4 linked regions of the Danio rerio genome follow. The protein of the gene in region 2 interacts with the protein of the main gene of each other region in a biochemical or structural test. Links are inferred from orthologs where the notes say so. Each region holds a gene or a part of one and is shown on either strand. Other genes may lie near its edges.

Region 1 (3,643 bases), on a different chromosome or scaffold from region 2:
AAGGCATTCATATTTCCTATTTACAAATGTTGCCGCATTGAACGAGGCAGAATTGTCTACCCCATCGGTAGTGTCCTATATACAGAACATTTCAGAGCCTACACTGTAGTCACAGAGAGTAGGGAATTGTACACTCGTGTCCCATCAGGGGACTTTGTACCATGGGTCAACAGTTCCTGGATAGTCATCCAATTGTCAAAGATTTTCTTATTCCGCTTCTTCATCATTTTTTTGTGACTAAGTTCGATAATGTTGACATCTTTCTTGTCCTCAGTGGTGACCCCCAGCTCTTTCTGACAATCCATACGGCTCTGCTTCATGAACTCCCTACGTTGACGTTGTTCTTTGGCACGGACGGCGTGTTGCTTGCGCTCTTCTTTGCTCCAATACCGACCCATCTTCATCTCGCTTACGGCATCATCATCTGTGGTCATCCCACTGCGCTCCTCTCGGATCCGTAGTGCTCGCTCTTTCAGAAGCTTGTCTCGAACTGGCCGCTTGGTAATGTATCGGGTACCGTCACTGCGGATCTTCACTTTCCATTCCATCTTGGGTCCCAAGTCAGCAGAAGTGACAGGGTCCCGGCACATGCTTACTAAGCTCATCTGGCTTTGGGCATACTCCACTGACTTTTGCTGGATCAGCTGCATGTAGCTCTGGTAGTGCTGGGCATGAGCCGGGATGTGGGCATGTTTGTAGGGTGATTGAGGATGTGCATGACGACCTCCTTTGCGCTCTCTGACTTCAGGTTGGGTACCAACCTCTGACTCTTTTAATAATGTTGGACGGCCCCTAGTGGGGCTGCAAGCCTCTTGGACGGGTGAGAGAAGGGGTTTGAGAATTCTGCTGGGACCCGAGGTACTGCTACTTGCCCCTGCTTCTGCTTGGCTTTCATTTCCACGTCGCAAGGAGTTGTCCGGGGAGAGCTCTAATGTGAGCGGGGTGCTACGGCAACTTTCACCAGTATTGTATGCACTGGAACTGTCCTTGTCAGACTTTTCCGGAAGTTCACTGATGTCTGCTAACTCGTGACGCCTTGCATCTACGCTTGTGTTGTAGTTGCGAAAGCCACTGTTGTGCAGCATCCAGGACTGTTCGCGGCACTGCTCCCGTAACTGCTGCATGCGGTGCGCTCTGACTATGCTCAGGCATTCAAGCTCAATGCTGCGGAGCTCCTCATTCAGAAGTTCCAGTTCTTTGTCGACACCCTCCTCTCCAACACCGCCTTGTCCACCACTGGGCCACAACAAGCTTTGATCTGGGGTACCACTACTGCCTGCACTCTGCATCTGGCACTTCAGCTCCAAAAGTTCCCGAAACCGCTCACATTCATCAGCAGGAAAGTCACCCAAGAATTCTGCGTCTGCATAGTCTGCAGATATGAAGGACTCGCTGCTGAAGGGGAGGTCACCACTGCCAAGGGTGTCCTGACTGTATGCGAGTCTGCGCCGGCTGCCCAGTGTGGTGGAGGCGCTGGTCTGGTCATCTGCGAGATTCTCCTGCTCAGAGCTCTCATCGTTGCGAGTGCTGTCATCAGTGCGGCCCACACCACTGTCTTTCTCATGGTGGTGGGAGAGCAGTGTGGCTGTATCTGTTGTACCTCCATCTTCCTCGTGCTTTTTCTGTAACAAAACAATTCAGGGTATATTGTTAATCTCTTCAGTGAAAACCTTCAATAACACCATACTCTATGTATGAATACATTCAAGCCAGGATAAGGAATCGTTTGGGTTCTTTCATGATACTGATGGCGAATCTACAATGCATCTGCAAAGTATTCATAGTGCTTGACTTTTTCCACAATTTTTATATTACAGCCTTATTCCAAAATGGCTTAAATACATTTATTTCCTCAAAATTCTACACACAATGCCCCAAAAAGACAATGAGAAAAAAAGATTTTTTGAAATTGTTGCAAATTTATATATACATATATATATATATATATATATATATATATATATATATATATATATATATATATATATATATATATATATATATATATATATATATAAACCCTGAAAAATCACATGTACATACTGTAAGTATTCACAGCCTTTGTCGTCAAGCTCTAAATTGAGCTCAGGTACATTCTGTTTCTACTGATCATACATGAGATGTTTCAGCAGCTTAATTGGAGTTCACCTGTCTATATAAGGTCCCAGGGTTGACAGTGCATGTCAAAGCACAAACCAAGCATGAAGACAAAGGAATTGTCTGTAGAATTCAGAGACAGGATTGTCTCGAGGCACAAGGTTCGGGAAGGTTACAGAAAAAATTTTGCTGCTCTGAAAGTTCCAATGAGCACAGTGGCTTTCATCAAGATGTTTGAAATCACCAGGACTCTTCCTAGAGCTGGCCGACCATCTAAGCTGAGTGATCGGGGGAGAAGGGCCTTAGTCAGCGAGGTTATCAATAACCTAATGGTCACTCTGTCTGAGCTCCAGCTTTTTTCTGTGGCGAGAGGAGAACCTTACAGATGGACAACCATATATGTGCAGCAATCCACCAATCAGGCCTGTATGGTAGAGTGGCCAGAGAAAAGCCACTCCCCCCTAAAGTATGTCAAAAGGCATCTTAAGGACTCTCAGACCATAAGAAACTAAATTCTCTGATGACACTAAAATTAAACCCCTTGGAGTGAATGCCAGGCTAATACTATCATGCTGTGAAGATGTTTTTCAGCAGCAGGAACTGAAAAACTAGTCCGGATAGAGGGAAAGATGAATGCAGCAATGTACAGAGACATCCTGAATGAAAACCTGCTTCAGATTGCTCTTGACCTCAGACTGGGGCGACAGTTTTTCTTCCAGCAGGACAATGAACCAAAGCACACCGCCAAGATATAAATGGAGTGGCTTCACAACAACTCGGTGAATGTCCTTGAGTGGCCCAGCCAGAGCCCAGACCTAAATCCTATTGAACATCTCTGGAAAGATCTGAAAATGGCTGTACACCATCGCTTCCCAATCCAATCTGATAGAGCTTGAGAGGTTCTACAAAGAGGAATGGGTAAAAATTCCCAAAGACAGGTGTGCCAAGCTTGTGGCATCATATTCAAAATGACTTAAGGTTGTAATTACTGCCAAAGGTGCATCAACAAAGCATTGAACAAAGGCTGTGAATTTTTAATTAATTTGCAACAATTTCAAAAAAATATTTTGTTCACATTGTCATTATGGGGTATTGTGTGCAAAATTTTAAGGAAATAAATTAATTTAATCCATTTTGGAATAAGGCTGTAACAAAAAATGTGGCAAAAGTGAAGCACTATGAATACTTTCCGGATGCATTGTAAGTATCGATTTGCCACTGGTATAGTAAAAAAAAACCAAGCTATTACATTAACTACAATAATTGCCCTCTTATTAAGTTTCATTACTGATAACAGCAATGTTAGCAATTGTTTATACAGCCATATTTGCCTTTTAACTGTCATGATACATTTTTTAAATGAAGTACACAAATAAGTACAATACTGTATGGCATTTAAACCGAACAGCTATAAGCCTAATTCTGTACCTTTTAAATTAATCATACAATAAAAGTAATTAAACTAAATTAAGAGCCATTTCAAAGTCTTGTTTAAAGTACAGAAGTTGTTACCCCCTTTACACAGGCAATTGTCAACTCATCTTGT
Region 2 (4,206 bases):
CAGATTTGCGTTAAATTTGATGCACTTGAGCTCACACAATCACACTGGCAGAGTATTAATAAAAATAAAAAGCTATTGGCTGCTTTTTAAAAGGGGAGGAGCTTTCCTGCCCTGTTTTCAAGTTTCATTTGAAATTGTCACACACCAAAAATGCACATTTCAAAGCACTTCACAGGACCTTTAAACCAAGCTAACTTAATGTGTACTGATACTTCATGATTCTGTAAGCATGAAAATATATACACCAAAATGCTGCAAGTAATGTCAGATTATCAAAACAAACATATCAAAACTAGCAATAGATCTATTTATTTGTAAAGAGTCATGTTTTGACTGCAAAATTGCACTTATGTTGAATATAATTTGATGCAAATGGCAAAATGCCCTTTTTAAAATAATATCAGACAGAATAGGCAGGTGTGCATTTTACATACATTTACATTTTGACGACACATTTTTTCTTCAATCTAGTAACTACACACTTTGTGTGTCTGGGGTCCTTTGAGCACTAGCAGCATGTGAAAAAACTAAAACCTGTCTTTTTCAGACAAATTAAGTGGTGTGACTTCCTGTGCTTAGTCCTTTGTTCAGCGAGTCTATATCAGGAAGAAGCACTTTAAGATCTTGTGGTAGGCTACTTGCAGAAATGCTGTAGCAAGATTCTAATCAGTAGAGCTTTCCTGCTAAACTTATATTAGATTTTTTTCTGATCAGTTCTGCCTCTCGTTTTCATCTGCAGAAGTAATTTCGTTCAAATGACTGAGAAAACTGAGAATGTTTCTGCAGCAAACCTGCTGCCAGTTGATTGGTGGTGAACTCATTGCGCAGGTGAGAGAGCAGAAGGCAAGGGAAAATTAAAGTTAATTTAATCTCAAAATTGCACAGATTACACGAACAGGAACAAAAGAGTAAAATACGCCTCTTATTGTGATTCTCAAATGAGATCAACATTAGTCTGAGAGCAAGATAAGAAATTAAATCTTCTTCCTTCCATTCTCATTAATCACTCACAGAACATATTGTCTCTGCTTGCCTTGTAGTTGCAAACTTGGCCTGCAGCTGAATTGGAAGAGGAAATTCCAGAGCTGTACAATGCAAACGTCTTGACAGTATTCTGTGATACAAAACTCGAACTGACTAGGAGTTTAGCTCTCAGAGATGTCAGCACTGTGGTCTGTCACCAAAAGATACAAATCATCAAACTAGCATATTTGAACACATATCGCAATTTAAATCTTTTAAAGGAAAAAACACCTAATTTTTTTATAACCAAGCATGACAATTTATACTGCAGATACGAGTGGATGCTATTTGATTTTGACAATGTAAATATTAAGTATTTATATGCCAATAATTTTATAACATGTTTAACATAAAAAAACACTAAAAATTGTGTTTTTCTTATGCACCACAACTAAAGTTCAGAAATACAAAAGAGCTCGATAACTCGAGTGTTGTTTCCCAATGCTTCTTCTGACCTTAAACTGCTGTATTATTTATTTGATTTTATGACATTTGACATGTACCCCAGAGAAGAGAACTGCACAGTGAAAAACTGGAAAACAGCTGCTTCACTGAGCACAACAAGAAAACAATATTCTTCCGCTGGAGTTTAAAGATGACACAACTGCAGAGTCATTCCCTAAAATTGGTTCATTTTTCCACGCTGAAAATGTGATTTTATGTGATTTTCTGATTTAGAAAAAAGGTTATGAATCACTGAAGTGGTGGCATGTTTTTGGATTATACTTTCATGCCACATTATTTAAAATCTAGATATAATTGACTTTTTTCCAAAGCAGCTGTGAAATAGCATGAACATGATTCTTAAAAAAAATTATGGTTTTCATCAAAAAAGAAACTTGAAAACATGGTTGATATTCACACTGCTATCATTACAAGGCTACGACTGACATCCAAATGAAGAAGGTTTATGGGTCTGGTGTGTGTGTGTGTGTGTGTGTGTGTGTGAGTGTGAGTGTGAGTGTGTTTAAGTTAGAAAAAGATTATTTGGTTAAAGTCATCGATTATGAAGGTCACCTAGGCACTTTTTTATGAAACGACCCTCCAGTATTAGGAAACATCTGACCTGCACTACTTGAGCGCTGCGCGTCCTGCTGGCGCTCCAAAAGAACAGAATAAAGACCCTGACCATCACACCTGCACAACTCTTTAGTTATTTTGCACAAAGTATCACATTTCTAGACGACTGCTGTATTTCTCATGAACTCCTAAAGTCAAACACGTGGACCTCTGGCACGGATAGAGCAACCTAAAGGGCGCACATTAAATCAGTTAATTTTAGTGCTGTGATTTCACCACCTCTCACCTCCGTCTCCAACTGCACCAGCTCCATTTTGGGCCATGGCTCTGCCAGTTGAGCAAGAGGCATTGTGCACGCTCCTTCTGTTTGTCTCAAGTCCTCAAATTTGAATGGGAATTTCTTCCGAACCCGTGTATTTCCTGCTGGCACGACCTGATATGTCCCTTTGGGTCAGGAGCAAACGGGCGACTTTCCTTGCTTACAATCCGCGCAGGACGCGCATAATCACTTCGTAGAAAAAGAAAGATCAAAGCTGTTATTCCCGTTTAAATGACGTTGACGGATTCTCCTCTCAGTCCGGCTAGGAAGAGGAGTTGCACAGCCCCGTTCCTGGAAATGAACAAATCTCTCAGACACGCGCAGGTGGACTCGGCTTTCAGAAGAACATGCACTGCGCGTCTGCGCCGATCAATCGCGTCTCCTCCGAGGAAATCCAATAAGATGTGTTAATGCAATACGGTGGAAAGTGTCTTCTGACACTGACTGTCGGTGTGCACACAGACGCTGCAAAGAGGAGCCGATGCTGTCAGTGTGTTCTCCTCTGAACCGAATCCACAGTGTAAAAGCTTCAGCCGATCATTGGTTTGAAGACAGTTCTCGGCCAGCCCCTTTTCCAAACACTCTGCTTACGCCCCTCTCTGGACCTGTGCTGTTACTGCAAGGCAAACTCTAAAGCTGCACTGACAAGGGCTGAAACTTCTAGCTCAAATTTACAGGTTGTTATATTCAAACAAACTCTCATGTAACTAATAAAAAATCCTCTTCCAAACATACAGTAGTTTAATTATTTTGCGGTCTCGGCGTGGATTTATCGGGAAATTGCGTTCAAACCTCATACACACGTGCGTGTCACGTCACCTCACACAAATAAAAGTATGTCCTGCTGTCCATAGCTTAAAATTTAAATATATTTGTGTCAAAGTTAAAGAGGCCAGATGAAAACACTTCTTAAACTCCTGGAGATCAATACTTTTTGTTTTTAAAAATTCCATTTGTGTCTGAAAGTACATTTCACAGAGAAGACTCACAACAAAAACAATTATCTTCCTCAAAACTCATACAATTTTGTTTTGTTTTTTAAAGTTAGAAGGACAAAAGTAACAGAAAAAGATACATTTAGATGGAATTTTGGGGGTTTCAGCAAGAACTGATAAATCAATCATGTTCACATGACATTAATTCGTCAGAATTATGTGCGAATTTAAAGTATTGGCTATGTCACAAAAATTCAGATTGAATTACAGACTTTGTGTTTTGTGTTTCAGTCCACACTCTCATAAATTTGTCAACCAACTTAATCAATTTGTTAAAGTCTAATCAAAAAAGTCATCAATTCATAAACTGGGTTCTGAAATAAAAAAATCTAGCAGTTTGATTATTACACGTTTTTCAGGTGTAAGATAACATTTGGATGTTTTTTATCACTTAAACAACAACACCACCACCAATTTCCTATAAAATATCTTTTTAACTGCATTTGACTGATATGAAAGCATATCATCCCAGGGCATTTCTCAGAAAAAAAAAAAAACTTCTCAACAAAAGAGAGATTGATGTAACAAAGTATTCCCCATTACTGGCACAAGTAGCCTATCTCCTTTTCCATCATGCTAGGAATGCTGTTCGATGTTCTCAATTGTAATTGTCTTGTAGGCTTGCCCATTTTGTGGCGAGGCAGTGATATGCCAATACCTCTTGACTTTTTATTCTCTCAAAGGGAGCAGAGAAGAGCAACTGTTGCTTCTCGCTGAGAGTGGTTACCACTGGCAACCACAGACCATCTGCCAGCGTGCCGGTGAATCTGTTGCCAGAGTAAAACAGAGTATGAATGGCCGCCTTTATGAGATGGTAGTGGGAGGATATGGAGTGTGCATTGGTAGAGG
Region 3 (4,171 bases), on a different chromosome or scaffold from region 2:
TTTAGGAGAAAACTTTAGTCCAGATATTGAATTAGCCCTGTTTGGATGCTGTGACCCTGTTAGCATGGTCAAATAATCAGCAAATGTCTATTATGTTTGGTATGGTGGTGGCTAAAAGGGTGATCTTGATGGATTGGAAGTCCACTCTACCACCTACTTACTTCAGAAATGGCTGACTAAAATTGTTCTTAAAGGGTCACGAAACACCAAAACACATTTTTTGAGCTGTTGACAGTCGTATATGTGTCCCACACTGCTAAAAACACTATTAGGACACCTATATTTCACTAAAAAGTGTAAATTGGTTGTTTTTGCGTTATTTTAAGCAAATTCGTACTTCCTGTTTGAAACGAATTTTTGAAGCTGCGTCACGGTCATGACATAATAGCGTGTATTCCAGCGTGCAGACTGGATGTCTGTGCCTGAGTGAGTCTTATTACGTCTTACAGTGTGATACATTAATGCATGAGTAAGGCTTGGGTCAAACCAATCAGCGCACTCTATTGTGCAACTTCATTAATATTCATTACTATCACCGTGTTTTCAGGACAGAGACGCCATGTTGTGTTGGCAAAACAAGCGTGAAGTGTTGCTTTTATAGTTTGCTGCAGTTAAGTTTCGTTTTCATTTTCTCTCTGTGAGAGCTCAGACTCACGTGTGGATTACAGTGTACGCGACGCGCGACAACAATAACTTACGTGTCTAAGGAGGATTATTGTTTACCTGAGAGCTGTTCTCATCTGCAAACGCTGAGATCTGGAATCGTTTGTAGTATTCTCTTCATAAAGACGCGGCTCTAGTTGCTGGTGATTGTCCTGTCTCTACAGATTTGGTAAGTGAGCGACCAGTGCTCTTTGTTTATTCAGTTTGTTCGTATCTAACAAACTATTGCACAGAGTGTAAACACGTTAGCACCACAACCAAACTTTAACCTCGTGTAGGGTTTTTACCGCATTTAGTGACCGGAATAACACGCGCGGCTTTCTGACACTACCTGTCGTGTGCATCTAAGTTTCTGGGAAATGCAGAGGGTTTTTTTCTCTCATTCGCCGTGCGGTATAAAACATTGCATGAAAAATACACGCTTAGAGCAGCTCCTCGAATCAAATGTCTCGTGTGTCGCGAGGGACATGAATGAATTCCCTGAATGAAAGAGCCAAACTGCAGTTAAAGTCCACCATTTAATAATTTGGCTAATAATTCGACTACAGATGTCCATGTAGGTTAAACACCATCACATTCTCCTGTATGTATGTGTGTGTGTGTGTGTGTGTGTGTGTATTTTGACTCTGAAACTCGCGCGTGCCCAAATCGACACTCCCACACCCTCCCACTTTAGTTCCTCCGACACTCCCCCCTAAACAGATCTGGACACGCCCACTTTTCTGACTTTTTCCAAAGAAGAGGTGTGAAAACACCCTGCTGAAACGAGGGGGTTTCATGGCCCTTTAAGCTTGAAAGAATTTGTTTTGCTAGGGCAGATGCTTCTAAACAGCTTGAAAAATCTGGGGCTTCTTCCTTGCATTTCTTTTTTTAAGAGTTGTAAGTAGGATTCTTGGACATTTTTGCTCTTTCTTTTCCACTCCATTTTTTAATGTTTTGAGTTTGATCAAGTAACACCTAATAGTGTATATGATTTACTCTATATGGAGCATGTTTGGATGGACTGGTTTTTGTCAGTTTGTCTGCACACTGTAAAACAGTCAACTTTATCAAGCAAAATGAGTGTAGCTAACTCAAAATGTACTGCAAGTTCATTTGAAAAGAGTTTTGAACTAGGCGTTGAAGATATTGAGCTAATTAAACCTCATTACTTCATCTTAAATGGAGGAAGTTCACAGTACTCATAGATTAGTTTTTAACTCAAATGCTTTATTGCAATCGGTTTCCTAAAACGGTTTGAGTCGCTTTAATTTATTGTTTTTTTACAGTACTAAGTTGGTTTGAGTTCTCTTTTTTTACTGGGTTTTACTGTGCTCAAATTGCTTCATTACACAAATGGATTAAGATCACAGTACCCATTAGGATTAGTTTCTGAACTTAAATGGTATGTTGAAATCAGTTTCCTCAAACAGTTTGAGTTACCTTAACTTTTTAGATTTACAGTGTATTTTTTCTTATCACTTGTATAAAATGATTGTGTAAATGTTTTGTTCTGTTTTGTACTTATAAAAATCTGTTATGAGTAAAATAATAGAATTTTAGAAAAGTATCTTTTGAAGTTTCAAAATAGGGAAATCATATTAGCAGCCAATAAATGACTATTAAAGCACAACATTGTTCAGAGTCGGTTGGTGCTGCTAATGTTGTTTTGAAGTCATACTTACATGCGATTTCAGACCGAATATTTAAAGTAGCATGGTGAACACAAAATAGGAACTGTGACACTAGTTGTCAGTGTTCAAAAATGAACGAATGTGTTAACATAAAACCAACTATACCTCAATATATTGATCTAGTTTAATCTATTCTCTTTACCTCCAGTTTGTGGTTGAGCTGGAAGATGGTTTGTGCTTTATGGCACAACTGAGCAAAACACGAGCTGAGACTGGTCATCTTCTGGCGGCCCTCATACGTGATATCAGCCTGATCCGGATCGATCTCTCCCAACAACAGATCCACGTCCACAAATGCCTTGTCAAACTCCTTCTCCAACACCTCCAGCCACCGGAACATGGACATACCGGAGCCGGTAGCCGCAGCCGGGCCGGCGGAGAGGCCCGATCCCGGTGATCCAGCACCGCCAGCGGACGCAGACATCTTCAAGACTGAGACAGGGGGGAAAACTCACGGAGAACTCGAATGTAGTCCTTCAGTAGGATAGATCAGTTGGTTTATGCTAATGATTGACTTCTGCTGTGTTACAGAGTCAGAGTGATGTTTAGCTGAGGTGTTTCCCGTGCTCTCATCTGACCAGGAAATCCGAGATCGAACAAGTCAACAACGCGGATTGATTAGTCGGGTCTGCCACACGATGAGGTAAGCAGTCGAATGATGAGCGAATCGATTTTTTTCAGGTTTTTGAGGTTATTAGCTTTTTTTTTTGGTCATTTACCGGACTTTTTAAAATTATTTTTTATTGACTTATATAAAAAAAATCTAACATTTATTATGGTACTTTTGATATACTCAATTTTTTATATGCTCAACATAAGATTTACTTTGGTACTTTTGATATACTCGATATATTTGGAGCAATGTTGAAGTTTCTAGAATTGCAAGTTTTTTGAAATGGAAGAAGAAAAAAAAGGGAGTTGCTTTTCGGCTTAGTCCCTCTATTAATATTAGGTTGCCACAGCAGAATGAACCGCCAACTTATTCAGTATTACGCAGCGGATACCCTTCCAGCTGCAACCCATCACTGGGAAACATCCATACACTCACACATTCACACTCATACACTACGTACAATTTAGCTTACTCAATTTACCTATACCGCATGTCTTTGGACTATGGGGGAAACCGAAGCATCCGGAGGAAACCCACGGGTTCACAGGGCAAACATGCACACTCCACACAGAAATGCTTACTGACCCAGCCGATTCTCGAACCAGCGACCTTCTTGCTGTGAGGCAATCGTGCTACCCACTGCGCCACCGTGATGCCTGTGGAAGTTTTATCGCTCCTATTTTAAAAACATTCATTATCATCTAAACATGTGATTTTGGGCTTATTATGTCCTCTTTATAGAATGCTGGTTTTATTAGAAACTTTATTTTATTATGATGTTAATTTTTCATTCATAAATGCTAAAAAGTGATTATCATATCATCTATACATATATGATGTCTAAAAATAAAAAAGTAATTAAAACAATTAATACTGATTATGCTCCTTTAACATTTTAACATATCATGGATTAAGCTCTAAAACTTTATAGCGGATATATTTTGTCTAGAAGTATCTGCAATAATTACTTTTTAAAATTATTTTTATTTTATATAGTTTTACTTTATATTTGTTCTATTTAATTTTGTTTTATGTTTGGGTTATATATATGTTTATGCATTTGTTTTTAACTTTTTAAATGACTTTGAACTTTTATTTGTAACTTTAAATTTTACAGTAATGATGACATGTTTATTTATTGATTGATTGATTAAACTATGTTAGGTTATTTAAATACATTAATAAAATAAATTGTACAATTTATGACATTTATGTATTTTTT
Region 4 (3,643 bases), on a different chromosome or scaffold from region 2:
ATCAAAACTTGTTAACATTTTTTTTTGAAAAAGTAGAGTAAATGTACAAGCAAACTGAGGCCTGTTATCAAAATTACTCAATGCCTGTTTTGTTCTATGAAACAAATTATACATTATACAATTTAGCTATTTTTTTATTAAACTCCTTGTAATATCTATTATTATTTACTGCTATGTACAGAAAACCCCTACAACGGTTGCCAGATGTTAACCTGGAACTTGTGTATTAATCTTTATAGAAGCTTAATGGCAACTTTATGCAAAACCAGTTGAGAAGAAGATCAAGAAATGTCTCAAAAATACATCTGTGTCATTATCCTGGAAAGCCATATTCAGGCTTTAATGATTTGTTAGCGCTTTAAGGAAATTTAAAATGCAGATTCTGCATTCCTTTCTATTATCTGAAGAGAACAAGGAGTTCTTCATATGAAAACTTGCTTACTCTGTCCTGAGATCAGTTGAACTTTTCTGTGTCCACGATTTGACAGTTCTGCATGTCAGATAAACTGATGTCAGTTCAGCAGTGAAGAGGAACTCCTACCCGGTGTTGCCGTGCGTGTGTTGGTTTCGCTTCCTGCATTCCCTGCATGCTTTGCGCCATTGTCCTGCCTGGCCTGTCGCTCAAAAGAACATGACCTCATCACCAGACAACCCAAAACTCTCAGAGGAGAAAAGGAATTGTTTTATTACAGATTGATGTGTGCCGTTCAGGCCCTCAACAGATGCGTCCCAAAAACCCTTCAGGGAAACAATCATTTGATGTAATGAAGAAAAAAGTTGCAATGAACAAAGTGTTTTCAGCTCGAAGTCACGCCAGAAGGGGGAAAAAAATGCACAGACGTGTTTTTGCTGGCGTCAAGTTAATTAGATTTATAATGGCAGCATGTTTTGCGTGCTAAAAGATGGACCTATATTCTGGAAAATATGGCAATAGAGGATGAAAAAATTAAAAGGCCACTTAAAGTTTGTTAGCTTTTGGTTTATATAAACATTAATGACAACGTGTCTTCAAGATTTTACATAGAAATATTAACATTTAGTGCATTTGGCAGAAAATTATATATCATCAATATAAGAATTGTAAAAAATCAGCTTTCATATGTTAAATTATCAGTATATAAAATGTTTGTTTAAATAAAAAAATATTTATTTAAACACATTTTATTTGCTCATTTTAAAATATGAAAACTATTTATTATTATTATTATTATTATTATTATTTTATTTAAATATTGAGTAAATGTATGGAAAATTATTACAATTAATAAAAAATATATATATATTTTAAATATTGAGTAAATAACATGTATGTGTAAATAATCAAATCTATTAAAAATAGTGAGATATGTAATATTAAGTAAATCAAATGTATGTTTAAAATATTTATATATATATATATATGTGTGTGTGTGTGTGTGTGTGTGTGTGTGTGTGTTTTAAATATTGAGTAAATAAAATGTGTGTAAATAAATAAATAAATAAAATGAAATAAAAATAGTTTTGATATTTTAACTATTGAGTAAATAAAATGTGTGTAATAAATAAATTAATTTAATTAAATTAATATTAAAAGGTTTACACGTATGGAATATTTTATATTGACTTAATGTCATTTTCAGTAAATAAATGGTCTAAAATGATAATATTCTTGTCTGAAGTGTTTTAAATATGTATTATTCAGTAGTTATGTAAAACACTTATATTATCAAAGTAAACATAATTTAACATTTTACGACAGACATGTGGCTATAAAAAGCAGATCCAGAGAACTAACAACTTTTTTAGGTTTTATTTTATTTATTTTCCAACCAAACGTGTTCTCAGTTTAACACTTTTCTCTGTGATTTAATTAATTTTTTTATAGGTGACACGATTGCCAGCGTGAACGACACTTCAGTTGACGGATTTCGCCATAAAGAAATCGTCCAGCTCATTAAATCATCAGGAAACAACATTAGGTTTGTAAATATCCAACATTCTTCCATCTCTGATTTTCTAAAGAAGCCAAATACCGTCACACTTTCCCCAATAAAGGAGCTGAAATGAAATCTAAATAGTTCCAGTGTACCAGTGGTTTCTTTTCTGATTAGCTTAAAGAATAAGATCTGCTATTGCTTGATTGGAAGCACACTTTCCTTCCCCCTTTTTATTTCCTGTTCAATAAAAGATAAAAGGCCCGTGAAAATGAACCTCCATTTATAAAGTGTGGAAAGCGAAGATGCGAACCACATGAAGGCCCTCCATGGCTTTTAACCCAATTATTTCCACTTTTAAACAGGGGTCCTGCTGTAAATGAGAATGTTTACAGGAGCCCGTTAAAAAGAGGCTCCCGCTTCATATTCACGTCACCAATGAAATCATATACATTTGGGGGAAGGGGAGTTTTGGGTTACCGCCTAGCTCCGATTCAGATTTGTTGTGGTTTGAAGGGCCTTTAATTGCTGTTTTTAGTAGATTGTAGTGTGAAAATACTTAAAGATAAAGTTTTGTAAAGCCAAAAAAAAAATTCTGAAGGTTTGTGAGCTCTTTTCGTAGCATAATATACAGTATAATGATGAACATAATATATATATGATGCTTTTTTACCTTGATTTACAGAAAACAAAAAGTAAAATGTCATTAATTTAATAAATAATAGCATAATTAGTAACATTAGTGAGAGGCTTATTCAGCACAAAATAAATAATTGGATAAATAATTAACATTATTATTATAGTTGCAGCTGCAAAATACTAATTCATTTATTAATAATTATTTATTAATTTATCAATTAAAGAATAATATTTTTATAGTTAAAAAACCTTCTTTAAAACCAATAGGTTTATTAGTTTATAGGTTTATTTACATTTATACATTTTATTATTATTATTATTATAGTTACATTTTCATTTATTTTTAAAAAGTTTTTCCTTAAAACCAATAGGTTTATTAGTTAATAGGTTTATTTACAAATGTAAATGTATTTAAATGTATAAATAAAACAACAAACATTTTTACATAAATATTTTACTTATATTTTTACCCATATTTATTTTATTTTTTATTTAAAACAGTAAGTAGACACATTTCTTGCATTTAATATACTTTTGGTATATATAAACTCGCTTATTTAACTTTATCTAGATGCAGTCATATCATAATCAGACATCTAATCTTTTACTCTCACAACAAAGTAAATGACTTTTGACATGCATCACTGTGTTGCTTTTGTTCCTGTGTTTAGGCTAGAAACCGTCTACAGCGACTCTATAAGAAAAGCAGAACTGGAAGCTCGTCTGCAGTATCTAAAGGTGAGTCTCTTTAACCATGTGTAAAGCGACATGCACATATCGAGCATTTACAAGTGTTGTAACGTAAGGCGAGCATGTTAACACAGCTGCCCCGCTCTGGCACAGAAACACTAGGGGCGATCACACCTGTTTCCCCTCACGCTACACCTGTCCCCTCTTAATCCTTACATACCACATACAGTACAGCTGACACAAGGAGAAAAACACATTTTTACACTCCTCACCATAATCTGCGAAGTGAACGACGATGCCTGGGCTGTCAAATTAAAATTTTAAATGTATTTTTTATTTTTGAAAGTTAAAAGATCTGGGTAAAAAATTACAAAGTTGTAGACTTTAAAAAGTGATTAGTT

What was found.
Region 1: the proteins of rps6ka1 (region 2) and pdzrn3b interact in a test that uses a peptide from one of them, tested with the Homo sapiens proteins (2 studies listed by BioGRID and IntAct, with this or other methods). The link is inferred for Danio rerio from reciprocal best matches to the Homo sapiens genes RPS6KA1 and PDZRN3.
Region 3: the proteins of rps6ka1 (region 2) and gopc interact in a test that uses a peptide from one of them, tested with the Homo sapiens proteins (2 studies listed by BioGRID and IntAct, with this or other methods). The link is inferred for Danio rerio from reciprocal best matches to the Homo sapiens genes RPS6KA1 and GOPC.
Region 4: the proteins of rps6ka1 (region 2) and tamalin interact in a test that uses a peptide from one of them, tested with the Homo sapiens proteins (2 studies listed by BioGRID and IntAct). The link is inferred for Danio rerio from reciprocal best matches to the Homo sapiens genes RPS6KA1 and TAMALIN.

Annotation. Positions count from the first base shown.
Region 1 is NC_133181.1:46,767,993-46,771,635, forward strand, and holds part of pdzrn3b (E3 ubiquitin-protein ligase PDZRN3-B), read right to left. Parts: intron 1,623-3,643; coding exon 99-1,622; 3' UTR 1-98. UniProt on the Homo sapiens protein: E3 ubiquitin-protein ligase. Plays an important role in regulating the surface level of MUSK on myotubes. Mediates the ubiquitination of MUSK, promoting its endocytosis and lysosomal degradation. Might contribute to terminal myogenic differentiation.
Region 2 is NC_133192.1:28,543,829-28,548,034, reverse strand, and holds the start of rps6ka1 (ribosomal protein S6 kinase alpha-1), read right to left. Parts: upstream 2,883-4,206; 5' UTR 2,393-2,882; coding exon 2,330-2,392; intron 1-2,329. UniProt on the Homo sapiens protein: Serine/threonine-protein kinase that acts downstream of ERK (MAPK1/ERK2 and MAPK3/ERK1) signaling and mediates mitogenic and stress-induced activation of the transcription factors CREB1, ETV1/ER81 and NR4A1/NUR77, regulates translation through RPS6 and EIF4B phosphorylation, and mediates cellular proliferation, survival, and differentiation by modulating mTOR signaling and repressing pro-apoptotic function of BAD and DAPK1.
Region 3 is NC_133195.1:45,541,750-45,545,920, reverse strand, and holds the start of gopc (Golgi-associated PDZ and coiled-coil motif-containing protein), read right to left. Parts: upstream 2,898-4,171; 5' UTR 2,761-2,897; coding exon 2,479-2,760; intron 1-2,478.
Region 4 is NC_133198.1:35,148,609-35,152,251, reverse strand, and holds part of tamalin (general receptor for phosphoinositides 1-associated scaffold protein), read left to right. Parts: intron 1-1,864; coding exon 1,865-1,958; intron 1,959-3,223; coding exon 3,224-3,290; intron 3,291-3,643. UniProt on the Homo sapiens protein: Plays a role in intracellular trafficking and contributes to the macromolecular organization of group 1 metabotropic glutamate receptors (mGluRs) at synapses.